Arabidopsis thaliana: one gene and its partners. The protein of the gene in region 2 interacts with the protein of the main gene of each other region in a pairwise test. Each region holds a gene or a part of one and is shown on either strand. Other genes may lie near its edges. The genes, in order: ALE2, ESK1, SBH1 and AT1G11915.

The links.
Region 1: the proteins of ESK1 (region 2) and ALE2 interact in a protein complementation assay, tested with the Arabidopsis thaliana proteins (one large-scale study listed by BioGRID).
Region 3: the proteins of ESK1 (region 2) and SBH1 interact in a protein complementation assay, tested with the Arabidopsis thaliana proteins (one large-scale study listed by BioGRID).
Region 4: the proteins of ESK1 (region 2) and AT1G11915 interact in a protein complementation assay, tested with the Arabidopsis thaliana proteins (one large-scale study listed by BioGRID).

The regions. Positions count from the first base shown.
Region 1 is NC_003071.7:8,753,851-8,763,464, forward strand, and holds ALE2 (Protein kinase superfamily protein), read right to left. Parts: upstream 6,449-9,614; 5' UTR 5,996-6,448; coding exon 5,923-5,995; intron 5,376-5,922; coding exon 5,271-5,375; intron 5,180-5,270; coding exon 5,069-5,179; intron 4,919-5,068; coding exon 4,550-4,918; intron 4,469-4,549; coding exon 4,211-4,468; intron 4,132-4,210; coding exon 3,742-4,131; intron 3,632-3,741; coding exon 3,406-3,631; intron 3,328-3,405; coding exon 2,625-3,327; 3' UTR 2,002-2,624; downstream 1-2,001. Other genes in the region: RIN13 (RPM1 interacting protein 13), read right to left, coding at 7,478-8,353, 8,442-8,528, 8,904-9,233. UniProt on the Arabidopsis thaliana protein: Required during the differentiation of the protoderm into shoots epidermis and cuticle.
Region 2 is NC_003074.8:20,776,510-20,784,763, reverse strand, and holds ESK1 (trichome birefringence-like protein (DUF828)), read right to left. Parts: upstream 4,590-8,254; 5' UTR 4,355-4,589; coding exon 3,771-4,354; intron 3,668-3,770; coding exon 3,496-3,667; intron 3,358-3,495; coding exon 3,158-3,357; intron 3,060-3,157; coding exon 2,901-3,059; intron 2,182-2,900; coding exon 1,833-2,181; 3' UTR 1,531-1,832; downstream 1-1,530. Other genes in the region: CSLA14 (cellulose synthase like A14), read left to right, coding at 37-147, 233-369, 445-558, 656-1,044, 1,122-1,302; SZF1 (salt-inducible zinc finger 1), read right to left, coding at 6,165-7,916. UniProt on the Arabidopsis thaliana protein: Xylan acetyltransferase required for 2-O- and 3-O-monoacetylation of xylosyl residues in xylan.
Region 3 is NC_003070.9:26,192,314-26,199,165, forward strand, and holds SBH1 (sphingoid base hydroxylase 1), read right to left. Parts: upstream 3,414-6,852; 5' UTR 3,154-3,413; coding exon 2,926-3,153; intron 2,175-2,925; coding exon 1,620-2,174; 3' UTR 1,305-1,619; downstream 1-1,304. Other genes in the region: AT1G69630 (F-box/RNI-like superfamily protein), read right to left, coding at 1-861; AT1G69650 (TRAF-like family protein), read right to left, coding at 5,185-5,342, 5,459-5,625, 5,710-5,894, 5,945-5,997, 6,078-6,227, 6,337-6,508. UniProt on the Arabidopsis thaliana protein: Involved in sphingolipid trihydroxy long-chain base (4-hydroxysphinganine) biosynthesis. Can use C18- and C20-sphinganine as substrates to produce C18- and C20-phytosphinganines (D-ribo-2-amino-1,3,4-trihydroxyoctadecane and -eicosane).
Region 4 is NC_003070.9:4,018,644-4,025,163, forward strand, and holds AT1G11915 (wall-associated receptor kinase galacturonan-binding protein), read left to right. Parts: upstream 1-3,106; 5' UTR 3,107-3,186; coding exon 3,187-4,003; intron 4,004-4,148; coding exon 4,149-4,190; intron 4,191-4,310; coding exon 4,311-4,441; 3' UTR 4,442-4,649; downstream 4,650-6,520. Other genes in the region: APA1 (aspartic proteinase A1), read right to left, coding at 10-178, 262-374, 459-553, 739-799, 884-1,236, 1,326-1,353; AT1G11920 (Pectin lyase-like superfamily protein), read right to left, coding at 5,024-5,245, 5,352-5,490, 5,580-5,683, 5,765-6,454.

The DNA of each region.
Region 1 (9,614 bases), on a different chromosome or scaffold from region 2:
GTTTCTGCTTGGTCTTTATTATTATACTAAGTGATTAAGTTTAGAAGATCCAAAGAACAAACATAATTATTGGAACAAATATGCATGTCAATTGGGTTAGTCTGCAAAACCCGCATATATTTGATCTCGGTCCGTACAAATAAAAATTTATATTTTAAAGATCAACATGACCCTAACCGATACGGCTAGGCAAAAAAAAAAAATTGTAAATTATAAAATTTCTTAAAAAATAATTGTAGATGAATTGAGTCAATCAAAATTTAAATAACCGTTAAAGCCAATTTAATTTAGAAGATTTTCTTTTTTTTTAAATCAAATAAATTTAATTGAAATTTAAATAACCACTAAAGCCAATTCAGTTTATAATTTCTTTAATATTTTAACATGTTTTTATTTCCATCTTATGAGCATGATACATACTAGTCTTATATTTTAAGAAAAGTTATAGACTATTCATTAAAAAAAGAAATTGTTATATATTTACGTTTTATTAGGATTTTATCTTTGATTAATATTATAGAACGCAATATGTTTTCGATAAAGTCATTGAAAAAAACTCAATTTTAACAGTGTATAATGTTAAAAACATCTTTGTATCCACTAGAGTCAAAATAGTTTTTTCTAAAATTAGATATGCACAGACTCATCACGCGTGTGCCACTTGCACTAGAAGCATTTTGGATAGGAGGTGGTGAAGACATGAGACACTCTTTCATATGCTCATCCCTAGCAGTGGCTTCCACAAAGACTTGAAGACAAAGTTCACACCCTTTTTCAGCGAAAATGGTTTTGCATTTTTCTTTGAATGGTCGAGAGGGATGGTTCGGAACTGACATTGTTCAAAATAATCATCAATCAAACACCAACCCAACAAAAAAACAGAGAACAAGAAGATCATATAAGCTCAAGCCATACCGTGAAGGTGTTCTCGAACAGATTCGAATGATTTACAATGTTTGAAGCAAACCCCACACTAAGGCTGATGAATCGAATGGAACGCAATCTTGATGTGAAAAACATATTCTCTATAAGAATTGTACCTCTTGTAGCAAGCAACTCATTTCTTGGTTTTGCTCCCGCCGGCTTCCATGGCTTTCACACAACACAAACATGAAATTATGGTTTAGACACAAAAAACAAAACTCGGAATGATATGTTGGCTCAGTTGGTTTCTCTCTCTACTTAAGTGACTCATGAGGTTTTGTCTTCGGTACAATCCATTTTTTGTAACATTTTTCTTTTCTATATAACCACAAATATATTTTCTTCTTCTTTTTTGTTCGCTCATACGTCACATATACATATCAATTGGAAAATATTAACTCCTTATTTTCATTAGAAAATAAATCATTACAATTAAACTCAATACATATGACGATATGAGTTTCATAAGAAAGTAATATGAAAAACAATTGAGTATATAATTTTTTAGTATAAATTTTGCACGGTAATTTTGAAAATTTTAATAAATATTTAATTGATAATATAAGAAAAAAAACTAACTATTGATTAAAAATATTTAGCAATTAAAAAAAATTAACTTCTTAAAAAACTAACTATTAATATTATGAATACTAACTAGCAATTCTAGTTTCTTTGTTCTTTACTTTGGGTTCCAGTAGCATTCATTTCATGGTTCGTTTGGTCACGTTGATCTGATCAGTCAGATACTTAAATCGGACGTTCCTACATATTCCTCGATTAAAAATTATTTTGCTTTTGCCAATATAAACCAAACGCAAACGGATTTTAGCGTTTTGTCCTCAACTGTTATATCTCGAGAGATTAGATAGGTTTCATAATGTAGGCCCAATAAGACCTTATTAATTTTAAATTCAAAATTTTAAAATATTTTTTTCTCTTCCGTTTACTCAGCCACTGTGACCGTTGTTTGCTTAGCCCATAAATCGATTTTTGTGTTTATTGGGCCTACAGATTTTCTTTCTTTAGACTGTGTTGTATAACAAAATGAAGAAGACTCAGAAACTCGAAAGCAAGCTTCGGTTTGGCTGAAGTGGAAGGAGGAATTAAGAAGATATGGAGGAAGAAAGACAAACATATCAAATTATACTCTACGACTTTAAAGATCAACAATCCATGTCATTGTGTCCAATCTACAGAAGATACTAGAAATTAGAAAAGAATTACAACAGCTTTGACCAAGTGACTTGTTACCATTCACCAGCCAATTACTCTCAAGCCAGAATTTTATTTAACCAAAAAATATTTCGGATGTAAATTCAGAAAACCGGAAACTTAACAACGATGACCAAAAGCCAAATTTCTTAGGAACTTGAAAAACTAAAAAAAATTAGGTAATTACTAACTTCACTAAAATAAAATATATAAAAATGTTTTTTTGTGGGTGAGAGAGAAAAGGAGAGAACTAAATACAGGCGTCCTTCAAAATACAACCCTCCCTGTGCTTTTGCATCCTCGCAAAAACAAACAATTAAATCTCTATTGAGGATAATCATAACAACAAACAGCTCCTAAAAGAAATCAAACCGGAAATCTTTACCCAGATGAACCGAACCTGGCCGGATTAACCAGAACCTAACCATGCAGCTCAAGAGTTTGTGAGCCTCCTTTTCCCTTTTCTTCACTGTACATTTTCTGGTTTCTCAGAGCCAGTCACCATTGCCGGACCAGAGATGTCTAGACGACGACGGTCCACCGTGTTCGCTCATGCTTCCTCTCAGTCTAAAGAAGTTTCTTCTACTACGCATGGGTCTTAACGGACCTGATCTGTTTGGTAGAATAAGACCTCCTACTCTTGGAATGCTAGAGGCAGAGTGAGGCCGGTTCTCCATGTCCTCTAGTGGTCCTGAGCTATAATCCATTGTTATGAACGACGAAGCTTGACCATACCTTAACCGAGGTGTCAAATTCCACCAGCTGCTATCCGAAGGAGCCAGATCGCCTTTGAAGTCAGCAGAGTCTGGTACTGATGAGTCCTTTTGGCTGCAATAATCACCACAGGTCTCATCTGCATCGTTGTATATAAGTTTTAGTGCCTGCACAACTTCACCCATGAATGGTCTGTGTGAGACCTCTTGGTGGACGCACATGGAGGCAATCGCAGCCACTTTCGCCATGTCATCAAAGTTGTAGGTTCCAGCCAATGCAGGGTCCACCAGTTGCTCCAGGCCCTCTCTGTTGGCTAGTAAGGGTCTCGCCCATGTCACAAGGTTTTCCTCTCCCGAAGGTTGAGACATGTCTACTGGTCTTCTACCGGTTAGAAGCTCTAGTAGAACTACACCATAACTATAGACATCGCTTTTAACAAGGAGATGCCCCGTCATTGCATACTCAGGAGCCACGTACCTGAAATTATTTCCAGGGTAGTCACTGTAAGTCCAGAGTGTCTGTATTCATCATATTTGAGTTGGAAAGAAATTTTACCCAAAGGTCCCCATGACTCGAGTTGAAATATGTTGACTTCCTTCGGTTGCTTCTCTTGCCAGTCCAAAGTCTGAGACTTTTGGGGTAAAGTCATCTTCTAGGAGAACATTGCTAGCCTTGAAATCACGGTGGATTACTCGGGGATTTGAATCTTCATGGAGATAAGCCAGTCCTCTCGCTGCTCCAAGTGCAATCTTCAACCGCGCATCCCAATCAAGCGTTCCTTCTGTTTTGTCAACAACCGGAAAGCCAGGTTTTAGGTGGTGATGCAACGAGAAGTGATGGATATAATTGGGATATATTGTTATTAAAAGTGCAGAGAAAAGAATATGTCACCGTGTAAGTGGGACTCAACACTCCCATTGTGGACGAGCTCATAAATCAAGCAACGTGTACGACCTTCAATGCATATTCCAATCAGTTTCACAAGATTGCGGTGGTGCAAACGGCTTAGCATCTCGACTTCGGCAATAAATTCACGGTCTCGATTCTGATTGTCCCTAGTTAGCAGTTTCACTGCAACCTCAGTTCCATCTTCCATACTCCCCTGATAAACACGACCAAATCCGCCCTCGCCCAAAACCCTCTTGGCACTGAATCTATCAGTAGCCTTCTCAAGCTCGGAGAGTGTGAAGGTCTTAACTGATAAAGCACATGTAGCCATGGAAGACATCAAAGAATCTGAGCCTGAGCTTCTGGCGCTACTGGAAAACATAGATCCAGCACCTGCAAGGCGAATAAATTTTTCAGAAACAGGTTCTTTTAAAGCTATAGAAGCGTTAAGAAGTCAGAGGGTGAAAATTACCAGGCCTTTTGTTAATCGATGGAGCCAAAGCCGGACCAACAGCATTAGATGACTTCCCAATTTTCTTCCATTTCACGATTATAGAAATAGCTCCAACCAAAACCAGAATGAGGACAAAACCTGACAACGCAATAATTGCAATCGTTCTAAAACCTATTCCCTGGCTTTTGTTGGCAAAAGTTGTTGCATTGATCGGAATTGGAAGGCCTCCTGGAGCATCTCCAGTAACATCTCCATTTGGCGAAGAAGAAGGAATTCCTGAAGCAAGGTTAAGAAGTTCAAACTTTGAAATAAAACAAAAAAAAAGTAGAAACTTGCATCTGAATGAAATCAGTTTACCTGGATAACTTATGTGCGTAACCTCATAATCACCAAAAACAGTCTCATTTAGAGGTACTTTCTTGTGCCGGAATCTCTGATAAATAAGTGTTGCTGTAGTGTTGTCGAACTTTTCCCCAAGTGGAACAAGGTTAATATCCACCACTGTTTTCCCTTGATTTTCACTGTCGGCACTGGCACCCATTATTTTCACTTGGCTTTGTTCCAAGTATGTTCCAGCAGCAACCTCAATTTCTAACTCGTTGGTCACGGGGAAAATAGAAAAAGGTGCGACACTTAGTAGAAGCTGAACTTTCATGGGGAAGACACAACCACAAGGTGAACCAAAGGGAGTTGAAGTGAGAGGCTCCACACATGTCTGCTGACAGTCTATCAAAAGGAAAGCCGGAAATACACAGGAAAAAGTAGTTACTACGCTTGATTTATCAACTGAAGTCTGAAGAAAAAGTATTCATATAAAACATTATCGTTGCCACTATAATAGGACGCAGGATAACCAACAAGAAGCAAAAGAACTACCATGTGACGAAGGTGACACTGCAGTGGCATTGCGTCTTAAATGCCAGCGACGATGACGGTGATGACCCTTGTGCCTTAGTGGTGGAATGCGACTTGGGTTGGGGGAAAAAGCTAAAAAGGGAAAGACAATGAACAATGAATACTCCTAGACAGAAACATAATGACACTATGTTTAGGTGACAAATAGGATTCCCTTACTGACCTGGTGAAGGTGTAGGAGCAACTGATGGATTAAGATAAGGATGAAAGAAATGCATTTGATGCGCCTTTGATCGGGTAAATGGCAAACTCATCGGAAATAACCGAGCTGCAAATGATAAAGCAAGCTGATAAGTCATCTATAGATTCTTTCTACACATGTCGAATATTCATAGCAGTGAAAAGTTTCGAAAAAATAGAATGTTTCTAATAGTATGCATACTCCATCCTCCTCTCTTGGGTTTAAAAGTATAATGCCAACTGTAGAGGATAAAATTTGGCCAAGAGAATGTCACACAAAATCGATATTTCCTCAAGATACTCAGAAAAGAAAGAGTAAGATCTATGTGCATTCTAGCTATTAAAAGGTTGTGTGCCAATTAAGGCACAAAACGTGAGGACTTGATCTTCACTCTCACGCTTCACAATCACAGATTCCAAACTTAAATAATCTAAACTCTTTTGCTTACTTTGTACATAACCAAAATTAGCTTCTAAATATATCTAAATCCAATAAACAATTCTAAATATAGATAGACCACCAACTAATCTTGAGCTGTCAAAGTAAGAGCAACTTAACTAAAGGTTAATTTCTCCTATCAAAATCGTTTCCTAAATTTGAAAAGGGGAAAAGAAATTTGTTAACTAGTTCATACCAAAGCATATAGGAAACGAGGCGAGAGAGTGAAGAAGAAGAATTAACAGCAGAAGCATCGCAAAGTTCCGCATCTCTTATCTCAAATCAAAAACCACCATTAGTCAATAACGGAGACACCAAGCCTCGGCGAACACTCTCCGCCGATCAAAACGAAGACTAACCAGAACCAAAGGTGTAACCATATAGCTTCCTCAAAGCTTCACAGACATTGATTTCTCCCTCGTCCCGAAAAAAATTCAAAAACCCTAGGGTTAGAGAGAAGCGAGTAGGTTTTAACGCGATTTTGACAGATCCACGAAATGCGGCTCGAGATCTGTACAGAGCAGGGAAGCAGAGAACGAGAGCTTCTCCGACGATAGAGAGAACGAGAGCTTCTTCTCCGGCGAAGGTATCAGAGTGGTAGAGAGAGATTGGAAGCGAAGAGAGTAAAGTGAATTCGAAACCAGAAGAAGCGAAGAGAGAGAGAGAATTTAATGCTGATGGTGGGAAGGGGGCGTAGGGTAGTGTGTTGCCGTAGTGAGACTGCTTTCGGAGAAAGGCAAAAAAAAAAAAAAAAAAAAGGCGATGATGATGGCGTTAGCGAACACCGACGCGGTTTCGTATGCGCGTGGTGGCCACGCACATCGAAACGACAAAACTGGTGGCCGTTTGCTACCGTCACATCGACAAAACCGTTTCTTTTTTGGGCGTTAGTTGCCTTATTGGGCCGGGACTTACTTGAATTTTAGCCTACTAAACGGAATCGTTTTGGGTTTGATTTTTTTTTTTTTTTTTTTTTTAAAAAAAAAAAAAAAAAAAAATTAAAAACCCCAAATGGGCTGGGCTTGATTTCTATAAACTTGGAAACTAAGTATTTTCGGATTTTACTTTTGTTAAAAGTTTATTTTCGAAATATTTTACATTAAAAAGTAATAGTAATAATTCCACAAATGACAAGTATCAACTCTCAAAACTATTCCATTTTCGTGTTTGTTTCCAAAATTAATACTATATACTTGGCAAAATTTCCTATACTTTTAAGAAGACTTTATCAGTTATTTCCATTGTTTCTTTTTTTGGGTCAAAAATTCAATTGTTTCTAAAATATTAAAAGCTAACTAAATGATGGTAGAAGTAATTTTGATCCAAAATATAACAATGTTTTTCCGGTTTTGATAAATTTGGACTATTTGTCTATTAGGCAAAATAGAAGTTTGATCAAATTTAATCAAGACCATATGTGTGTGCCTCTTTCTATATCTATCGCTTTTCGATTGTTGATTGTCTTCTTTTACATTACATGGATATTTTCCCCTCCCTAATCATTTAAACAGGCAGTGATAATGATGGTATGTTTGATTTTTGACCTTAAAAAACTCAAATCAACAAACATTATTTATGTCAATTGGCAAACAGGTACTTTTTAGGACTTAATTTTATGATGTACTAGTAGCAGCTAATTAAATGATACACACAATCGAGATTGTAATAAACTACAGCACTCCCTCTACAAAATACAATCAGTGAAGAGAGTTAACCTAGGGACGGAGATACAAACTACCCTTATGAATCTTTCAATCATTCAAAAATGTTTCAAAATCAAATGACAACGTACTAGCATAGTCTTGATTTCCCGGTTCAGGTAACGGACTAACAGGGCCGGTTGGGTTAGGATTTTCCATTAGCCATTTCTCAAATTCCGATAGTTTGGTCTCCAAGACGTTTTCATTAATCCCTGGTTGCTGTTGTACCGTAGCTGTATGCGAATCTTCAGCAGTAAGAGGAGCTTTGGACGGAGCAAACCGATCCACATTTGTCTGAAACTGACGATTTCCACTACCACGTATGTTCTGGTCTGCATGTCGAGTGAACACGTTGCTCTGAGAACCAGGTAGCGCTGTGCAATGATCACGAACATTGCGTTGTTGAGTGTACGTTTCCGGGTTTAATGTAGGTGCCACTGTGGAAGAGCTATGGTGACTGGATTGTGAAACTTGAGCATTGTTAAATCGGATGCTGATACCATTTCCCGCAGAAGAGGCTACTCGGGATCGTAGGCTAAACCTATAAGAACTTCTATCCTTTTGGATCACGCTGTCGCGAACAGTGCTTAATGACTGTGCCGGTTGACTCTGCAACCCTTGATTGTGCGGAATCGGTTGCCTGATTCTATGCCTGGCTTTGACACTTGAAGGATTAGCAACACGGGTAGATGATGAACAAGGCCGGATCTCAACATGGTTTTTCCGAAGCAAAGTGTTTTTGGGTACCCGTAAAATACTTGGAGTAGGTTTTGAAGATGGTGCGGTAGGCATGTATCCTGTCCTGAAGTATTCACGTTGATTCTTCCATATCTTCTCTTTATCATTAGCATGACAATGATCTATGGAGGAGACAGCGATACACCAGTATGGACACGGAGCACGGATGTCACACACATAACAATGACACTTGAAAGAGAAACCAAATGAAAAGGATCAGCCAGGAAAAGAATCCATTAACGCTCCGTGTAGAATTAGAGAATATTTAGATACTTACCATGTCACAGTACTTCTCATGTGATGTTGAGTTGAACGCATACTTAGCACACGAATGTCGCGGATGAGGGAAATCTCTACATGCTATCTACAAAACAAAAAAAATGCTTTTTCATATTAGGAAAACTTAAGTGAACAACACTTGTATAAAGATGGAACACACCAAAGAAAAAAAGTTCATCAATGTTACACCGATTAAATTACAATAACACAAAACAGTTCAATAACTATCCATTCCTAAAACAGTTCCATCACCAAAGAAAAAAAGTTCATCAATGTTACAACGATTACTTTACAATAACACAAAACAGTTCAATAACTATCCATTCCTAAAACAGTTCCTCAGAGCTAAACAACACTAACGCATACATAATCTGAAATGAGAAACTCTGCCTTTCACACCAATTCGAATGAAGAAAACGAAAGAGAACTTAGAAATGAGAAGGGTTCAGTGAAAACATACCTCACCCTTTTGACCCACTACAAGCACATCATCATCATCGTCGTCGTCAACTGAAGTAGTCTCCCTCGTCTTGTCGGGATCACAGTCCAAAATCACACAGTCGTCATCATCTTCCAAAGCTTGATTCGACGAGTTTGGCTTCCGATACTGAGAATTTACACCACCTCTAACCTCAGAAAGAACCTCGACTATATCGGTACTGTCAGATGTATCATCGACGGGTTCCATAACACCGTTTAGCCAATCGGTGTATTCTACGTCTCCCCGTGTATCGACATCCTCTTCGCCTGAGCTCACATCGACTATATCAACATGATTACCCGAACCCATTGACAAAATTTTCGTAACTGATCGCAGAAATTCGCAGCGATTTTGAAGTAGAATCAGTTGGCATGTGAGAACACTATAATTCAGTAAATTGACCGAATTCTAATACCCGGGAAAAATCGAGGTAAGAAGAAGCAATGAAATGGAAACTTCGAGCTGAGAAATTAGGGTTTGGTTTGGAATCAAAAAGCGGATGTTGTACTGGTGGTGGTGACGATGAAATGACGAGTTTTGAACGGGTATATGATGAATATGGGCCTAATGGGCCTCAACTCAAAAGAATCTGGGCTGATTATAGAAATTGATGGATTTATATGTTTTTCATTGATTGTTCATTTGTTTGGTTTGATGATCAAATTCTTCCCAACCTTTTATGTAAAAACA
Region 2 (8,254 bases):
TTTGTTAAATCGATTATGTTTGTGTGTGCGTGACAGGGAATGCTGATGAGTGTTGTATGACAAGAATACAAGAGATGTCTCTTAACTACCATTTTGCAGTGGAGCAAAAGTCTGGATCCTCCATACTTGGTTTCTTTGGATTCAATGGTGAAACATCCATAAACATGCTCTTTGTGTGTCTTGTATTATATGATCTTAATTTGAGTTACTAAAAGAACATCGTTGACTTTAGGTACTGCTGGTGTGTGGAGAATTAAAGCTTTGAATGAGGCTGAAGGATGGAAAGACCGCACGATAGTCGAGGACATGGATTTAGCTGTTAGAGCTTATCTACGCGGCTCGAAGTTTGTGTATGTCGACGATGTTAAGGTTTGTTATCAACTGAATGCAATGATTCAACCTGTACTGAAGTGATCTGACTAAACTTTGGGAGTTTTATTTAAGGTGAAAAACGAGCTTCCGAGCTCATTTCAAGCATACCGGTTTCAGCAACATCGTTGGTCTTGCGGTCCAGCGAACCTTTTCAAGAAAATTGCAATGGAGATCATCAAAAACCAGGTAGATAGATTACATAAATCCCCAAATCTAATTCCTTTCGGAACACAAATATAGTTCAATGACCTTTATCTTTTTTTGTGTGACATGTTTGAAACAGAATGTGTCTTTATGGAAGAAGGTGTATTTGATATACAACTTCTTCTTTTTGAGGAAGATTGTTGTACACATCTTCACATTCGTTTTCTACTGCGTGATTTTGCCAGCTACCGTTATATTCCCGGAGATCGAAGTCCCTAAATGGACAACTATCTACATTCCAGCTACCATCACTATCCTAAACGCTATTGCAACACCTAAATCATTTTACCTCATACTCTATTGGATCTTATTTGAAAACGTAATGGCGATGCATAGGAGTATAGGAACTCTCATTGGATTGCTAGAGACTAGTAGAGTTAAAGAATGGATTGTTACACAAAAACTAGGAGAGAGTAACAATCTCAGGGAAAACCTCATTTTTCCTGATCACTATAGCTTCCCCGAGAGGTTTGAACTTTTTCCCCGAATAGATTTATCGTGCGAAATGGCTAATCAATCAATGATATGATTTCGAATTTGTGCAGACTTCGATGGCGAGAGATAATGGTTGGAATGTATCTCTTCATATGTGGATACTATGATTTTGTGTTTGGGAGGACATACCTTTACGTGTATCTTTTCTTGCAGTCCATTGCCTTCTTTGTTGTTGGAGTTGGCTACGTTGGAATGCCGGTTCCAAGTACGCCGGTCCAGACTTCCGAGTAACCACTGACATATCTAACTTCTTTCTTCTTCTTCTCCTACACATTCATTCTTTCAAAAGGTTCGATTGTATAGTGATTAAAAGATGTGGTTTTGTGATCATGTTACTGTTTTAATGGAAGAATCCTTTGTAACGATCTAACATTCAAAAATCTTAATAGTCCAACAAAATAGCAAGAGATTGAAACATAATGACCTTTATATTTATTTTCCCGGTTAACAAAAAAATCGACCGTTAAAAGAAACAGTCGAATGTGAGCAAGTTTTACCCACTTCATTGAACAAAAAAAAAACATTTGGCATCCTTTGTTATCCACCTCATTTCAAAGTTTTAAGAGTACAAAAACAGTTAAAATAGCCTACTAGGCACTCTAATAACCATTAAAGAAAAAGAAAGAAACATTTCACAATTACAATTCAAGAAAAATTATGAACATTAGGACATCAAAATAATAAAATTTCAAGGCTCTTCCATTGGATGGAGCAAAGTGGGAAAAAATATTGAAAAAGAGATATTTCAAATATTTTGTAGGTCACGAACGGGAAATGATACGTGTGTAAAGGAACTCATTCCACGTGTCAGGTAAACCGGGAAGACACCAATGGATACAATCGGCGTAAGTGTTGGGATCGGCTTGTTGCTCCGGCGTCAGCATTTTGCCTTGTCGGATTGTGTGAACCGAAGTGTGAGCATCTTTCCGGTATTCGGAGAGTTTGGTAATGTTGAGAAAGTAAACCGGAACATTAAGAGAATGCGTGACGTTTTCCGCTACTGAAAACAGTCTGTAGTCTGTTCCTACGCTGAATGGCATTGACATGTTTAGGATTGGTGTCGTCTCTAATGCACACTTGATCCCATCTGGATTCTCCCAATCCAAGCTCCTATACAATATAACAACAAAAATTACAAACTATATTTTGTTAGTTAAGATAAACACATACAATTAAAAGTCTAATATGTGGGTGGTTCACCAACTCGTTAAAATGAAATACTATTTAGAGTTTTTATGTTTTTAGCTGATTTTTGTATACTGTGTGGATTTTTCAAAGGACAACGACTTGTTATCTCTTTTTCTTTTCTGGTAGTTGCTTGGTTTTCAAGTTAAGTTACGTCCGCAGGTTTAAAATATTATGGTCTGGTGTTATTAATGATTATACCAACCTGTGTTTTTTTTGTTTTGGATTATTATAACAAAAATAAAGAATTAACTAAGTGACATTATAATTGGCAATCTATCAATAACCTAATCCAGAGAAAAACACAAAATGATCAACCTTTTCCTGTTTTAAATCAAATCATATTTGAAATCATTTTGGTTTAAGGAAAAGTTTAAAAACTACTAACTCTCACGTATAATATTTAGCAGGTCAATTAAATGGAGTCAGGAGCTAGTAGGAATTAATTTCTAAGAAACGCATATGTCACTCAATCACTGAAACTAAATTATGTAATCATTTCAAATTTTCAATGGTGACACTAGTCAAACATGGAGAGTGACCTATCAATTTGTCAGTAATTTCAATTTGCAAGCAAAGCATCACTAACTAAAATCTGTGTATTGAAGCAACAATTAAGAAAAAAAGAAAGGAAGATTAATTACTTGATGTGAAGAGGAGACATGCTAGCAAAGAAGACAGTGGTACGTAGAGGATCAATATTTCGTTCCACCCAATCTCCCCAAGTCCTCATCACTCTCCTATACGCTACTGGCCGTTCGATCTCCTCATACTCGGTGTCTCCTTTATCGAACGATCCTCGTCTGATTTCATCGTCAATTTCCACAATCTCAATTCACAAAATTTGTAAAATACATAACACACCATAGAGGTAATAATATTGAAGTAGTAGTAGACTTACAGGACTTTCATAGCGAATGTGTTCATCCACCAAATGTAAGTGTTGAAAACAAGAAAGTCAACGCCTTTCCAGTTGACTCCATGCTTTTCAATGGACTCAGGCATTATTATACGGTTAAGTATACTATGCATATTTGGATCATCTGAATTCGATTCCACCAAAAATGGTGCCCAATAAAACTCCACCGTCGCATTATAATCCTTTTTAAAACCACCCAAAAATTCAACATTAATAACTAGAAAACTAATCCACACTTATCTTAACTACTCTCGAAAATCAGCAACTCCACTAAACACATTATCATTACTATAAGAAATAAACTAGTCGGTTTCAATTACCTCGACTCGGAAGACGGAGAGAGAACCGGTTTTGTTCAAGCTTTTTCGACCGGGAGGAACCACTGATTGAACCAAACAAACCATTGATTCCCATTGGTTCCGGTTTAGGGAATCTCCAACGAACATCATTCTCTTGTTCCTTAGCTTCTCCAACAGCAATTTCGCTTTGAACCTTCACCAAATCAAACAAAACCGGAAACAAAATTAGAAGAAACCAAAACTAAACCAACCCAAAGAATCGATGAAAACAAAAACAGAGCTTTTTTCCGGTTTACTTTGGTAAAGAACAATCTCTAGGTTGCCATCTCCAGTTCTGATACAGAGAATCTCTTCTTCCATTTCTCATGCAAGTGACTTGCGCCGTCAAGAACTCACATTGATCCTCTTTATACAATGGATGCGTCTCGTTATCAAAAACCCATTCTCCGGTGAACAAATCGCATTCCTCCGGCGGCAATTCCACGTCTTCTTCATCCTCCGTCGCAGCGAAAAGCTCAATCTTTTTAACTTCCTCTGTTTTCGATACCTCCTCTTGAACTGGTTCTGCTACGTCTTTAACTGAATCTTGAACTGAGTCTGCGTTTTTGATCGATTCCTGAATTGGGTCTGAGTTCTTGATCGACTCTTGAACCGGTAGTGTTGTGATCTCTGTGATCGGTGTCGCTTCGTCGTGGACGTCGTGAGGTTTTGAGGTGGAGAAAGGAAACTCTGCGATGGACTTGACGTCTTCATTGTACATGAAGATCCCGAAGAGGAAAACAGAGAAGACTACGACGAAGATTGAGAGATTACTGTTCTTCCTCTGTTTCATTGTAACTCCTGTTTCGAACAATGGAAATTTTCTTCTCCAAGGTTGCATCTGTTTGTTTTTTTAATATATAGAGAAGAATTGAAACTTGTAAACGAAAATAAAAAAGAAAAAAATAATTCTCTGTCGAGGCTCTCTAAAATGTCAGAATGTTTGTGAGACAAGGAGAAAGATCGATGGAAATATAAGAGCAACGAATAAAGGAATAAAAGAATTAAATTTGTGAAAAAATTGTTATTGTTTGACGTTAATTAGTTTTGTGATTACTAAAGTTTGGTGAGATGGGTTTATCTTGAACTGGTTTTTAAAGGCTTTCAGGTGAAGAATTTTAAAATTATATACAAAGTTGCTCTCTCTATATCGTTTTCTTTAAAATGTAACCTGATTCGCTTAACTAATCTATTTTGAAGTTGTTGTTATAGCAAAGTAGAGTTTGGAGCGAAGAGTGGAATCAAAGATTCTAAAAGATTGTCTCAATCCTCACCTAAAGAAAGGGACCATCGAAACAACAATTGTAGAAATTAGGATATTAGTAACAATTACTTTTGCTTAAACATGTATTTTTCCAAATTATTTACTTGTATACCACCAAAGTTTCCGATTGATTTACATTTTTGTTTCATAAACATAATGTTCTATGAAACATAAGGATCCAACATGAATTTAATGTCTCATGTGCCAGTTGATCTGATTATGTTTCCGGGTGTAATTCACCAAACATGCATATTAAAGCAACAAAGATCAGTTTTATATTAAACACAAGTTTACTCCTCCTAATCACCAAATCTAAAAGTAGATTAGTACCAAATTAATCTTACGTTTTGGGATAAGAAACTAATCTTTCGTTTTCTGTAACAATCATGTTTCCATCGCATGTTGAGGGTGAAGCATCAGTGTTCGTTAAGAGAGAAATAGATGTATATATGTTTTGCAAAATCAAATGAAAATTAAAAAGACAGGTCAAATACTCAAAATGATAATAGTATGAAGCTTTCTGTTTGAGAGAAGTAAAGGCTAAGGAATCTCATACACACATATATGTATACGGCACCAACCATTGCCATTACCAATCCATTTTATTTACATCATCTTACTACATATATATATATATGTAAATTTATTTATTTTCTTGGCAGAATTTGTATACTTTATTATGACTCCATTTGGTTTTAGACTTTTAGTTGTTCGTTCAACAGTTTTGCTTTGAACCAAAGCCAAAGTAACCCAACCCAAACCTCTGTATTTTGTTAGTATGAGTGAGTCAGATACACATCGGATATATCATACGTACTCATACCTTTATTTATATAATAAGAATTTTACTTGAAGTTCACCACGTGCGCAGTGATGTGTCTGAGGCACACGTGCGTCCCATAACATCTTTGACATATTTTCTATGAAAAAGCTTATACTGTATAGTATGTCAATCTAAGAAAATTCTACTATTTTAATGAAATTTTAAAGTAAGACTTTGTTAAAACATCACCAATTTGGGAAGTATGCGAAGCCTCTGATGACTTATGTTATGTACCGTTGTTGAGTATAGCCTAAAGCCTGTTTTGAAGCTCATTGAGGTGGCGTTGTGCATGTTTCGTGTTGATGACATGGTATATTTGTTTCAGCCATATTACGGTTTGGATTGCTTAGCCATTTCATGGTTTGATAAATTACAAGAGGATGAGAAACGAATATAGAAACTAATGCAATTAACTTCTATCTTTTCATCACGTAGACTCGTAGTGACAACAAACCATATACTACTAATAACAGTAACAACTAAAGAAAGTCACAAAAATTAAAGAATCAAATTTGCAGAGATGGCCCAAAAGCAATATATATAAGAAACCATCTTTGTGTGTGTTTACACCACAGTCTGCTCCTTCTCTCTGTACATTTGCTCAGCCCACGACATTATCCGAACCCTCTCATTCATTCCAAAGCTTCTCTCAGACACCACAGTACTGTCTTTAACTAAAGAGTTAACCCATGACACATCTGGCTCGTCCCTGTAGTCTCTAGCTGCGTTATTGTTGTTGTTTCCATGGATTCCAAAGGAAACACTTCTTCTCATCTTATTCAGCTCTTCTCCTTTCATTCCCCATTCCAGCTTCCCGTTTGGAGATCCCCAATCCGAGAGATTCGACTGTGGTGCTGCTTGAGTAGCTGGTTTGAAGCTCAAGCTACGTTTCGCAAAGGCGGTTGATCTCGCTTTCATCACTGCAACCGCTGCAGCTGCTGAAGATTCGAACCCGTGTTGAGATGGCGGTTGTCTCACCGGGGAAGATGGATAATGTTGGTTCATGTTTTGACCCATTTGAGAATTCCTACTTGGAGAGGAAACATAAGACCCGAACGTCTCTTCCACATTGTTGCCAAAACCGCGGAGTCTCAATTCCATCTCCATCTCCATATCGATATCTCTAGCGCTCAGTGTGGACTTCAATCTGCTTCCACCATTGAGCTGCAAAGCCGGTGGAGTAAGGGTATTGACTCTGTTCTGCCATGATCCGCCGTTTCTTGGAGAGGAAGGAACACCATTAGCCATTGGAGAAACCGGAGGAGTCGAAACTCCTGAAGAATAAGCAAGAGGAGACAACCCTGGCATCATCTCCAAGCTGCTAAACGGAGACTGAGCCACGGCAGAGCCAGTTGAAGCATTAACAGGTCTCATCTCTTCGCGTTTATGAGCAAAGAAACAAACTTTCCTTGCACAACCCGTTTCATCTTTACAAAGCCGGGTTTTATACTGCGCGGGGTGAAGCCACGACTCGAAAACCCCGTGAGCATACTCGCAAGAATCTCCTTTCGGGCATGATCCTTTACGGAACTCGGGACAGGGGACACAAGTGTAAGGATACTTCCTCGGATCTCTCCTCCTCGCATTTTCTCCCGGATGAACAAAAGCACACTCGGTCCAATCATGAGAATAAGCCCTAGAACATGGCTTAACCTTAAAGCTATACATCCTAAACTCATCACTTCCATAAACCCCTTCGTTTATATCCGGTAAAGAAGCATCAGCTGGATACTTAGAGACAATCTTGATCTCTTCTTCAACCGCCTCATCGATCAATCCTCCAACACCTCCTCCTCTCAGCAACAACTCAACCGCTTTCCTCCTCGGACTAGCCACAAACCTCGAAACTCGAACAAACACATCCAAAGGTTGATTCCCATTAGCATCAACAGAGTTAACCAAAGCAGAAGCATCAAGCAAGACATTGATGACTTCAATCATATTCACAGAACAGCCAGCAACAGCACAGTGAAGCGGAGTAACTCTCTCTTCACCACAAGCTCTGTTCACATCAGATTTTCCAGTGGAAACGATGAAAGTCAAAACCTTTATGCTTCCATACATAGCTGCAACCATTAAAGGTGTTCTTTCTTCAAGACCCATCTTCTTAGAACCGACACGTCTGCAATACCATAACCCTGACTCATCCAAATCAAGCCCTTTCTCTTCAACCTCTCTCTTGAACGAGTCAAGATCATCACAAGCAGCGAATTCGAGGAGAAGCATTGTTTCTTCTTCCTTTTGCCTTGATTCGATTTCTGTTAAGGTTCTTGAAGAGCAGAGATTGCTCTTTGGTCCACTGCACATAATACTATCCTGTAGATTCAAGAAAAGTAATTGATGATCAGAAAAACTGACAGAAAATAAATATTATTCTTTGTTTGTAACTTTTTCCATTTTCTAAGAGTCTTCTGAAGCAGAATTTGAAGCCGCAATTTTTGCGGATATAAAAAAAGTAAACTACTTTCTACTAAGACAAGCCAACGACCGTTTCTACTCTTCTCCGTTGAAATATTCCAACCAAAATTTTTTCCTTTTTTTTTTCAAGAAACAAGTCAAAGATAAATCAAGAAACTCAAGAATTTCTGTCCAAGAAACTCAAGATAAGACGAGTTTTCTAGAAATAGCAAGACTTGTAAACCAAATTAAGCCCA
Region 3 (6,852 bases), on a different chromosome or scaffold from region 2:
TAGATCATCTGGATTAAACTTATTCACGGAACTCAAGTTAAACACAATATCGATATCCGCTTTGACAAGCTTACCGGGTTTATTAAGTATAAAACTTGCAACTCGATGATCACTTAGCCTCAAATACTCAAGCTTGGGAGCATCAATTGAAACAACAAGATCTTCAACCACACCCTCATCACTATCCGCAACATGAGTGAACCTCAACAGAGACTGAGACCGCACACGTAAAACTTCAATCTCATCACAAAAAGACCTCTCAATAGTCAAGCTTTCAAGAACCGGGCATTTCGTAATCAGCGTTTCTAACCCCATATCGTCAGCAAACTTAGTTATAATCAGATCCATAACTTTGAGTGAAGGTAAAGAAACAAACTCGGGACTAGCCAAAGTTAATCCACAAAGCTTTAAAGATACCAAACTCTCACAAGTGTAAATGCTTGAAGGTAACTGAACCTCCCAACTCCCATACGAATCATCCAAAACATCGATATGTTGAACTTTACGCGTGACGATAGTGTTGATCCAACGTCCGATAAGAAAAATGTCAGGGTCATACTCGTCATCACAATCATACTTCAAGATAAATTTTTGTAAGAATGATTCACTGTTGAAATCGAGAAAGCTATCAACAAAACTCAAGAATGTGTTGAACTCTTGGAAATCAGTATTGTCTAGGTCTAAACCAGGTACGTGTTTCCAGAGATTTCTCCATCTACGGGATAAAACACTAGTCTTAACAACATCTTTTGTGGGAAGATTCAAGAGTACCTCACATAGCAAACAATCTGGTAATTTGCTTATCCAATCAACTTCATCAGATCCTTTCGCACGAACATGTTTCTCTCTATCTTCATCCATGAAAAGAAAAAAAATATCGAATCGATAAGAAACCCTCAAAAACTTAAGAGAGTATCGAATCGACAGTTGTACAAGAAAAAAACGAGTCTACAGTTAATACGACATCGTTTTATAGTATAAATCGCATTGTATTTGTATAACGGGCCTTATGGGCTTTAGAGAAATAAGAACATAAAAGAAAACGCATTATAATTTGAAACGATGAGTTTGATGAAGAGATCATGTAAACATGTAGTTGTTGAACAACTTTGAGATCTGATGTGGTTGTGTTTCTTGTGGGACAAGCAAAAGGCTTCGCAGGTACTGTTTTATTTAGTCTAGACACTACTAACGAGTAGCAAAGAATTGCTCCATGTGGTAATCAAACATCTGGAGGATTATTAAATCTGTAATATTTCATCTTGCACTACAATACTTCTAAGAATATCCAATACTAAAATGTGAATGTGAAGAAATTATAAAACAAAATCAACACAAAATCTTTCAAGAATGGCCTCGTAGATGGATAGATTATAAAAAAAACATGTTTGTTGTAGTAATATTACATGCAAAACAAAAACCGAAAGTAGAACAACAACTCAATAATGTTTATATACAAATCTCAAACTCCAAGCTAAATTCGCTCTTGAGAAGAAACGCAAAACGCAAAAAAACCAGTTCTGTTTCTGATTTTAAAACTACACCTCCAATAACACAAAGTATCATCCATTTCTCCAACCTCAGGGCAGATACATAACATATATCCAAACTCCAAAATCTTAATCGTCTTTGAATTCTTTAGTCGGGCGAGCTTCGAATCCTCCATCTTCTCTTTTCTCAAGCGAGTAAGGCATGTAAGTTCCAAGAATCCGATCCCACATGACAAAGAAAGGCTGAGAGAAATTGTATTTGGTTCCATAGAGCTGATGATGGATATCGTGGTAAGCCGAGTTGTTCTTGAAGACCATATGGAATAAGTTTCCAGGTAGCCAGAGACCGCAATGGTCGTCCACGGTTTTGATCGTGGCGAAAGAGAAGAAGAAGATGGAAGTTCTTGGAGACATACCAGAGACTAGGAAAGATAAGGCGCCTCCAATTGTATCCAAGAGAAGACCTTCCACTGGATGGTTGTATAAAGCTCCATATGCATAAGGGACGATAAGACGGTGGTGTTGAGAGTGGATATGTTTGTATAAGAACTTGTTCTGATGCATATATCGATGCATGAAGTATTGCCATGTGTCGAGGACTATCATGGCAGTCACAAACTGTCTTGCTAGGACCAAGAAGGAAAACTGTTGCGCTTTGTCTGCTTCGGCATCACTTCCCGTCACCTGTATAGACAATGAAGAAGCATATTAGAAGAAGGTTAAAAGCAAAAACTAGTACAAACAGAAAAGAAGATATTCCATGATATTGATGAGTCAATTCTATCAGCGGCATGTCTAAGCAAATCCATACATTACAAGTACTCAGGATCAGACGAATTCAAACCAAGAACCGATGATGCCGCTTCATTCCAGTTCAACAAAAGAACCGATGATGTAGTCATTCCAGTTCAACAAAACAACATTCCAGTTCAACAAAAGAACTTGCTTAAGCTTAAAGATCACAATTAGCAAGGTTTACTATGTTTGTTGGTTTTCTCATCAGATAAGCTGATAAGAACCAGTCCTCTCTGAATCTAACACAAGTAAGGAACAGAGGACCAACGGAGCCTAAGATAGAGTCCTTGGTTGAATTCTAGAGCAGCCTAATAAGGTCTGCCAAGTCTAAACCCTATTGCCAAATCACAGAACAATCCCTATTGATACTTTCCTCTAAAGCTCTTAACTATTGTTAGAACAGTCAATATATGATCCAACTTTAAGATCATTAATACATAACCCATTTCTCTTTATGGGTCGAAAGACAACATCAACCCAAAAAGTTAACCTTTTTAAAAACAAAAATCTTAACCATCCAATTCCACACATAAAAAGTCAGCGTCAGATATCAAAATTCCCCAATATGTTTTACCTAACTTTTCACTTCAATTTCACAAAAGCAAAACAACTCAAAAATGGGAAAAGAGAAAAACGGTACCGTGAACAAAAGGATAGCGACAACAGCTTGAACAACCTGTTGAACAAGAACACCTTTCACAACAGAAGATTTCGATACAAGATTCTTCTCTTCTTCTTCAACCTTTGAATGCAATCTATAACTCTCTAAAGAGGAGAGCGCTACATAAATCCCAGAATACAACCAGTACACCACAATCGGAGCAACAGTACCCAACAATTCATCCGATACAGCAAAACCCATCATCATTCCTAAATCTCAGCTTCTTCAGATCCTCTTCATCAACCAAAACGCAAATGATGCAAAAAGGATAGATTATTTTCACAGGAAAACTTCCAAAGTTTTGATCTTTATTCTTCAATTGGGGAAATTTGATTATTGAAACGATGATTGGGGATTGTTTTAGGGTTTGGGCGTTGTTGAGTTGACAAATCAACGATGAAGAAAGAAACAAAACAAAGGACGATACTTGCGTTTTGGTCTGAGAGACAGACGTGGCTGAACTGTACTCATTGAAAAGAAAAAAGAAAAAAATATCTAATTATCCAGTGTGGTTAGATCTACAGTGAGTTATCTACGTGGCGGAATCTCGATCGTATATACTTTTGATGTGATTTTTAACGGTTGATTCGCTAAGAAGAATCTCGTACTTACCGTGTTTGATTATTATTACTGTTAGCGATGGCGTGATTGGTTGTTTTGTTCCTCGTTTTAGTTTCATGTCGTCTTTGAAACGACGCCGTATAAGTTTAAACATATGTGACGAATGTATAAAATTCATCTTTACTAGCTCTCATAATTAATGAATTAATCAAAAAAAAAATCAGTATCCGAAGTTTTACTACCGATAATACTAATTGAATGAAGGCAATCTCTTATATTTTATGTTTCTATAAAATAGAAGAGATTCTTAACCATGAGAGATAAATGGTTAAGAATGATAGATAACTAGATATTATGAGAAATTTTTAGATAAAACCTTTTCAAGAAACTCATTTTCGATATAGGAAATAAAACCATTGTCAATAAACATTGGAAAATAGATTGGGAGATTATGGAAAATCAGTTTTTTTTTTTGTCTCTTATAAAATAGGGTGATTTGCAGATATAGCATTTTTTTACTAAATAATTAACTAACTAACACCATAAATTTGTAAATGTAATAAATAACCTTCAAGGGGTGTGAAAAGACATCACTGTCCTGATGTTACGTTTGTCAGCGAGGAAGGAAAATGTTTAGTGTGAGGTGACGTGGCTTTATTATTAGTGTTGAGGTGAGAAAAGAAATCAGGTGGTAGGAGAGAAGTTCCTTTTTCTCTTTCTTTTTTCTTTACCCCTTCCCAATTATAATTCATATTATCTAATCTTTAAAAAATTAATTCAAGTTCATGATATATCAATTAAAAGTTGTATAGTTTTCTACATATATCATGACTTAAATTTTTTAAAACAGACACAAAATAATTTAGATGTGAATAGTGTTGTCAATGAATAACATAACGTTCTATATAGATACACAATATTTTTTTATGGAAAGATATTAAACCCTAAGGGATAATATATAGGGAACCCAAGGGTTTAAATCTAAACCAATAATTAAATCACTTAACATCCTTAATCAAAACAAATAATTCATTTTAAAACGTATATAAAACAAAGTATACGTAAATAGTATATTTACAAATAGAATAGTATCTCTCAAATTGCAACAACAAAACTCAATTTCATCACCAAGACACCAAGCGCAACAACGAAAGTCGATTCCCTGAATCCAAATTGTGTTCCTCCCTCTGTAATTCGAAACCCCCAAATCAAATCTCACCCAAAAGTAATTAAGAGACTCTGATTTGAAAACAAAAACAAGTAACAATGTAGGTGTAAGGACTTTACTGGGGAGAAAGAGAGAGGGGGAGGGAAAAAGAAAGAGAGAGAAAGAGAGAGGGGGAGAGAGAGAAAGAGAGAAAGGAGAGAGAACGGAAGATAGAGGTACACATAAAGAAAGATGAGAGAAATAGATAGAGGGGTAAACTTGGAATTAATATACAAAATATAGAGGATATCATTTTTTTTTTTTTGATGTTAGTTCCTTAATTATAAATTTTTTGTTGGTTAGTTTTGCCAATTCCCCTATAAAATAGAATTAATAGAAAACCAGCTGAGAACATGAATGAAAAAAAAAAAAAAACTGGTCCAAGACATAGCATTGTGTCTTAGTAATCTACTGGTTCCTATTCTACTCATGTAGAAGTAAATTAATAAGTAAACAAAACAAAAAAGAGTTTAGATAATGGTAGAGAATTTGGTCGCGGAAACAACTTCAAATTCGGCCTCAATCATCAACGTGTCTTCTTTGTCCAAGTAAGTCTTCCGAATTTTATCTAAGGAAAGAAATTTACACCAACCGTAACCAAAGTTTGATCCCTTGTGCCAGTAGTTCACTGCAAGAACAAAAAATGTGAAACAGTTATAATGAGAGTAATTAATATCTCAGTTTGTATATCGAAAGATTATAAAAAGTAATAAGATAATAATGCAACTGTCTTTTAGTAATTACATCGGCTTGCCACGTGATTGGATCCAAGCGGGTTTAGAATTCGCACAACTACTTGCGTGAAAATCTTCTCATCTGGTTTTAGTGTTTCATTATCAGCTAAATAAAGAAACACGGATAAATATTTGCCTTTTGCTCTAGAGTTGCCCTTCGGAAACAGCTTTAGAACCCTACAAAAGATAAAATTACGAACATTCATACACACATGTCTATAGAGATACATTTTTGTTAACGATTTTTATATAGATACTCACCATTCCCTTCCTCCTATTGAAAATCTGTTTGGTTTGGAACACTCATTTTCTTTCCACTGAGAAAAGTTCTTAACACTCCAAGTGACCTTGGGATAAGAGAGTTTCTCATCATGAAAAGAGAGGATTTCCCAATTGGTAAGAGGTGGAGCAACAATGACATCAACACCAAACTCACATTCATTACCCTCGAATAGGTATCCATTTTGCGGTTAATGAATGTTTCATATGGAAAAACTTTTGGCAATCCCCACACCATTTTAAGTGCATCGAACCGCTTTATTTCAACATCTGAAAGATATATAAGATACATCCATTACTGATTTTAAATGTGAATTTATAGAAAGAGAAGCATGAGATGTATACTTCACCTTTAGTAAAGTACTTGTTTTGTTTCTTGTTGTAGACAAAGAAGCGGAGTTCCGCAAACACTTCAGTTGGTGGTTTGGATTCCATCAAGCTTGAGCTGTCTAATTCCACGTACATCGAAATAAATCCACTTCCATTGTCCTTTACGTTCCCTTTCGGATATATGATCAATCTCCTGTTTTTTTTTTAAAACAACATATTGCATTGGCTATATAAGATATAATGATTAATGCTAAACCCTGAAAATACAATTATCCATACCAGTTATATCACCAGAGGAGAAAAGACGAGATTGGTATTTATGACCAGAGAAGGAAGTAGTTTTCTCAAGTTGGGAGAAGTTGTGAATCTTGAGAGAATAAGAAGAAGGAGGATGATCTCTCCAGTTTTTCTTGATAGTAGAAGAAACTGGTGCTGAGCATGATGCACCCATCTTATTCTACCCAACACAATGCAAGTCTTAAAAGTTAAAACTATGATTGATTAATGTATAAATAGGATTCTTGGGGTGTCAAGATAAACTATTAGGGTTTTATAAAAATTATCGCTTAACAAAAAAAACAAAATACATTTTATAGGGGGAGAGGAAAATAAAGAGAGATTTACGTCTAAATACTTGTAAACGCATCAGATTATTTGGCATAAGTATTTCATTTCTTGGAGAAGATTTTTAATTTGTTGGTAAAGTACATATCTTTTATAGATAACTTTACACCAGATTTCATCAGTTGTAAATAACCCATTTTTTCTCTAAGAAGATTTTCATAAATTTTGTGA
Region 4 (6,520 bases), on a different chromosome or scaffold from region 2:
ATCACAAACCTGCCAGTAGCCCTTTTGTGTCACAGGAACATATGTATGTTTGCCCTTGAAATGATTTGGATCAACACCTCCAAATACAAGTTCACCACCTTCTTCTTCATCTGCATTACGGTTAAGCCAAAATGAAAAAACCGGCTCCTTGATAAGGCCTTGCTTGAGCATGTTGTACCTGTAAAAAACAAGACATATTAGCATTAACACTACAGGAATGTAGTAACTCAGTCCAAACAAGAGAAGAATGTGCAGGCATACCAAACAGGAGCAGCTTTTCCAACAGAGATCTCTTGGAATCCAAGACCAAGGATACCATCAAATTTAGCTACAACAAATGTTATACCAGGCTCCTTGGTTGCCTCGATAAACTCCTGATGAGATAGACAAATGTTAAGAAGGAGGTCATTGATGTGTATGTTGTAAGAGTACTGATTAGGGTCGGACATATAGTTTACCTGATCCTTGACAACTAAATCGCCAACTGTGACAGCATCATTACTAAAAAAACCAGCAATTGCTCCAGTGCCGTAATGAATTGCGGCAGCTTTTCCTGCATCAAAGATGAGCAAGTTAGTTATAACCTAGCAGCTGCTATCAGTAGTGATGTTGCATCTTTTAACAATGGTTTTCTGCACATTAACATGAATTCTAGAGGCTACATTGAGTGAACTGTAAAGTATCTACCAACTGGGAAATCCAACTGCAAAAAATTTCAAGTTAAGAGAGAGAACAAACCATTCTTCTCATATGTGCTTGAACGAGACGACTTGTATTTGGGATGCAAGAGACATGCAAGCTGCAAAAGAGATAGAACACAATTAGTTTTCTACTCAAAAGTATCTCAACCACAGCTAACAACAATAGTCCAAATGTTGCTTACTGAGAAATAGCATTTTGATGATGGCACCCAGAGGTTAGAGCTCCCAGTGTCAAAAACCACAGTGAACTTCTGAGGTGGAGTACCAATGGCGATCTCACCATAGTACTGAGCATCTAGATAATTCTTAAGCACAACAACATCAGCATCTCCAGAATCTCCAAGTCTGTAAGCTCTCAGGGGCTTTTCTTGCTTGGATTCGACGCGTGCTGCAAGCCGATTTTTCGAATCCAACTTGAGTTTTTTCAGTCCAACTCTGAAGGTCCCGTCATTGCGCTCAGCAAAGGCAGAGAAACACAGGAGGAATGACACAATGAGTGAAACAGCAACCGTTCTAGAGTATATCTTCATTTTACCTATTCATTGACAACAAAAACCAAAAACATAAAACAAAGAAAGTTAGAATCAAGAGACCATCACAGAGAAAAAAAGCAGAGAACCATACCCATAAAAGTCAACCAGTATGTATACATATATTTATATCAGAGAGTTCATATTGAATGATGCAACATAAAAGAAAATTTGTAAAGTGACTAAAAATAGGCTAACTCGGTCCTCCTCCTCAAACAGATAACGAAGGACAATGTTACACGCAATATATTGTACAAACTACAAATTATTAGTTTAATTGGTCTCTCTCAATCAGCCACGAAGCAATAGCGTGGAAGCAATAAATAAAGTAAAAACTCTCTTGACTTTGCAAATGACTAAAGACTTCTTTTGCTAGAGAAAGTGATATAAACCTTGAAATCGACATTTGCTTGCCGAAATCAGAAAGCAAATACCCAGATTACAACAAAACCCTAAACATCCGTTCCTATAAACCTTTTCAACATAAATGGAAAGTTTTGTTCAATAAGACAAGCAATCTAGTAAAAAAAGGAAACAATCTCAATTGCACCAAGACTCACATGCAACATAATTGATTCATAAGACACTGAAAATCGCCACAATCGCGACAATAACAAGAGCATGAAATTTATTTTCTTCTTCTCAATCAACTAAAAACGATCACAACTATAATCGATAAATCTTCAAGTAAACAGTCCGATTACGTAATCAAACAAACCTAAAACCCCAAATAAATTCATACCACCGATGAAACCAAAATTAGCCACAAACCATACACAGATCACAAAATCTAAGCGAGTCTACTAATCACATCATACAATCATCCAGATTCAAAATCGAAGAACATGAAATTCGGTAACAAAACTCTTACCTAACTGCTCAGAAAACGATTTATGAACAAATCCACGAGTATTAAGGACAATAAATTAAGCAGAGAACTAAAAGTATAAGACAATCAACGAGAAGAGAATCGATAAGTTTCATAAGAAAGAGAGCTCACCAAAGCTAAAGCACCAGATTCTCAGAGAAATGAGGATTTTTGTTGAAGAAAACGAGAAGAGAGATGGTTACATTTATTTGCGAAGAAAGAGATGACTGTGAGGAGGGATAATGCTAAATTAACCGCGCTGTCTCCTAAATGGACAATTACAGGTGGAGGCCCACTGTATAATCCCGTCAAAAAAAAAAAGGAGATTTCGTGTGGGCTAATGTTTCGTTATTAGCCGTTGGATCTCTATATTGAACGATTGGATTTAATCGTTGACGGATGGATAGGAAGGCGTAACGTATCAAGTTTTATATTTAGTGAGAAATCACGTGTTTACGAATTTAGAGTGGATTACGTGCTCCTTGGAATACTAACCGTTGGATTGAGATGACTGAAATTGAACGGTTTCGATTAAAGAGTTCACCTTACATGGATAATGATCAATGTGTTGTTTATATTGGGCCTATGAGAAGCCCAATGTGTTGTTTACATTGAGATTATCTTCCAAAGATTACTTCACAAATCACAACCCTTTAAACGAAATTCTAAATAAAAGAAAATTCAAAACTATTATATACTGAAATTACTATTTTGTATTTTATAAGGTTCTCATACATTTTATTTTTTTTGTTAAATGGTTTTTAGATAACATGTTAAAGAACAAATTTTGTTGTAAAATATCAGAAAAAAGAATAGTACGTTTGTTGACATATTGTATGTAAATATTTCAAATAATCTGAAACAAAACCACGAGTCCTCTTGGAATACTTTATACTAAAAAGAAAGGTGAAATTTTAAAAACAAACCGAAACCTAAAATAAGCAATATTAACAAGCACATGACAAGATTGATTCTTAAACTCTTTAACAAGACATTCCAAGCTTACTCAACACTTCACACCACCAAATTATAATCTCATAACTAAAAACTACCCAATAATCAAATCTAAACTCCTAATTTTTGAACAATGTCTCCACTTCACTCTTACATTATCTTCTTCTCCCTTCTCATGACCATCCTTCTTCAATCATCAACAACATCATCCCAATCAAATCTCTGCAGATCTTCTTGCGGCAACATTCCGATAAATTACCCTTTTTCCATCGACGACGGTTGTGGTAGCCCTTATTACAGACACATGCTCATTTGCTCCGACAACGATACCAAGCTCGAACTTAGAACACCATCTGGTAAATACCCTGTTAAATCTATAAGCTACTCTGATCCTCACCTTCTTGTCTCCGATCCATTCATGTGGAACTGTCAAGATCGAGACAATTTTCGACCCACTAGATCTTTTAGCATCGATTCAAGTACACACTTCACTGTCTCTCCTCAAAACGACTACTTGTTCTTCAACTGCAACACCGATAAAGTTATCGTCGAACCAAAACCGCTCTTCTGCGAAAGGTTTCCAGATAGATGTGACTCGTCCTGCGATAGTTCTAGCTATCTATGCAGACATTTGCCTGAATGTGGCTCTGCTTTGGGATCTAGGGTTTCTTGTTGTTCGTATTACCCTAAAGCGACTCAATCTCTTAGGCTCATGCTGCAGGACTGTGCGACGTATACAAGTGTGTATTGGAGGAGTACAGGTGTGGAGAATGCACCGTATGATCAGTTTCCAGAGTACGGGATAAGGGTTGATTACGAATTTCCAGTGACAATGAAGTGCCTTCTTTGCCAAGAAACGACTAAAGGTGGTGGAGTTTGTGGGTTTAATACGAGGACACGAGATTTTTTGTGCCTTTGTAAACAAGGCAATGTCACTACTTATTGCAAAGGTCAAAATGTCTATGTTCATATCTTTTCGTCCTAACTACAATTTCTATTGAGAACTATTTAACTACTATTAGATAGTTTTTTTTTTGGTAGGGACTATTAGATAGTACTAATACGTATTTTCAATCATTTTGATACATTCTGCAGATCCAAGCCTCGTAAACCATAAACGCGTAGGAGCTATCGCAGGTAAATAAGCAAGTTTACTATAACTACAACATGAAGTTTGTGGTCATCTTATTACTATATGACTTTATATATACTTGTAAGTTGTGACCTGATTTGAACCGGAAAATTTGTCGCTAACAGGAACAGTGACGGCAGTTTCAGCGGCAGGAGCGATTGGCGTTGCCGGTGGAGTATATTGGTACTTGAGGAAAGTGAGAGCCAATGCTCCGGTCACTTGTGGAGTTCAAAGCAATGAGAACAGAATTTTCTAAAAGCTCCAATGAAATCATAATTTTAAAAAGATTAAAAGCATGGTCACACTCACACTCTTCTTTTCTTCTTTTTTCGCTCTCTTTTGCCTTTTTTGTTCTTTACCTTTTATCTTTGATTTTGTGTATACTACAAGTTCTAGATAAAGATTTTCGTATAATTTTTTGTGTTTTCTTATACAATAGTAAATTTTTCGTTTTGGTCGGATAGTAATCTTTTGGTAGGCACCAAGCAAGAAAAATTTTGCAAGCATAATGGTAGCTGTACCGTCATCCATATTAAGAATCACATAATTGTTCGTATAAGCCAAGACAAAAACTTCTCCAAAATACTATACTCTTCACATTGGTCAACTTCAAATCTTTATACAAAACAAATCTTGAAAGTAAAACAAAAAGTATATAAATCCTCCAAGATAACTTGAATTCCGTCCCGGGTACTGAATAATTCACAAAACACACCTCAGGAACAGGAATTCCGCCTCGTCGTTTCCAAGGAAAGAAACAAAATTATCAAAACGTTACATTTTATGAAACATTATATATAATCACATATGTATATATACGTGAATAATAATTAATTAGTTAGCAAATTCTGCCGGAATAGCAATGGAGAGGACCGGCGGATGAAGTAAGCAAAGGGACGAGAGAGCCGTGAGACACCGGAAACCGCTCTGCTCTTCCGTACAACGGCGTGACGGTTCCGTAGCCAGAAGGCACGAAGTAAGCTCCGTTCTTAAAAACGTCTTTGGACGTTCTCCATTTCCATCTCTTCCAATCATATCCACTATCTATTCTTTTTGTCACCTAAATATATAGAATCATATATATGCATGTAAGATTTCATTGCATTATTGATGTGTGGTATTGTAATGATAGTTATTAAAATATTAACTATTTTAAATGAAGAGACCTGTTTTTTGCTAGGGTCATCAGAAGCAACGAAGTAGTTGCCTTCACTAAAAATGGTTGGATCAGCACTTCCTCCGATCGCATACATTTGCCATTTCTCGTACCTATTGTTTGCTACATGCGCATATCCTCTTCGCACTCTGCCACGTCATCAGTCACATATCCATGTCAGCATTTTCTAATCTAGTTCAAGTAATCTAGATATCAATATGTATGCATGTACACTCACCTAGGCATTCTCTCAATAAGACCCGGTCCGAAATGGTTGAACGCAATTGTAACTCTCATGATCTTATCTTCCACATTATTGTCATTATGTCCGAGTAACATCACCTTCATAAAAACATACCAAATTATCATCAAGTATTCAAAATACTATTGTAGAAGTTACATCTATGTAAAATATAAACTTACTTTATCATGCTGCGTGAAGTAGTTATTAGAAATAGTGACAGCCGTAGAAGCATGAAGTACATCGATCAAACCATCTTGACACCGAGAAAAGAAACAATGATCAATCCAAATATGTGACGAATCAAAAATGGCTATTGCATCACCGTCCGATCCTTTCCGGCTACCAACATGGGTCGGGCTGCTCCGTACCCGCCCCGACTTACCCGGTTTACAATCATGGATACTTATCCCATGTATAATGACATGGCTCACATGTTGGATCGTTATGCATGGTCCATAGGCAATTTCCACTTTAGCCCCTCTTCCATCAATCGTCTTGTAGCTGTTCATGATGAGCTCGTTACGCAACACTATGACCATGTCACGTGCAAATGTGATCCATAATGGTTTAGATTGGATCACTGCGTATCTCAGTGTTCCGGGTCTAGGGTTTTCAGGGTCGTCTGATGGGTTTGTAACCACGTAGATCGACCCGTATTTCCCCCCAACCGCAGATTTTCCAAACCCTACCGCGCAATCGGCTAGTGCACGACGGTTAGACGCCCAATAAGGGTTTCTTCGCCAGCAAGAATCGATAGGGTTTGGTAATAGTTTGGGAATGGTATAACCATTACTGTAAGCAGCCTCTACAACAGAAGAAGAGAAAGCTGCAAAGAGAAGTGAAATAATTGTTAAGAAAAGAGAAGCCATTTGCTAGAAGATGTAAGGCTTGAATTGAACTATGTGTGTGCAAATATATATACACGACAATAGATA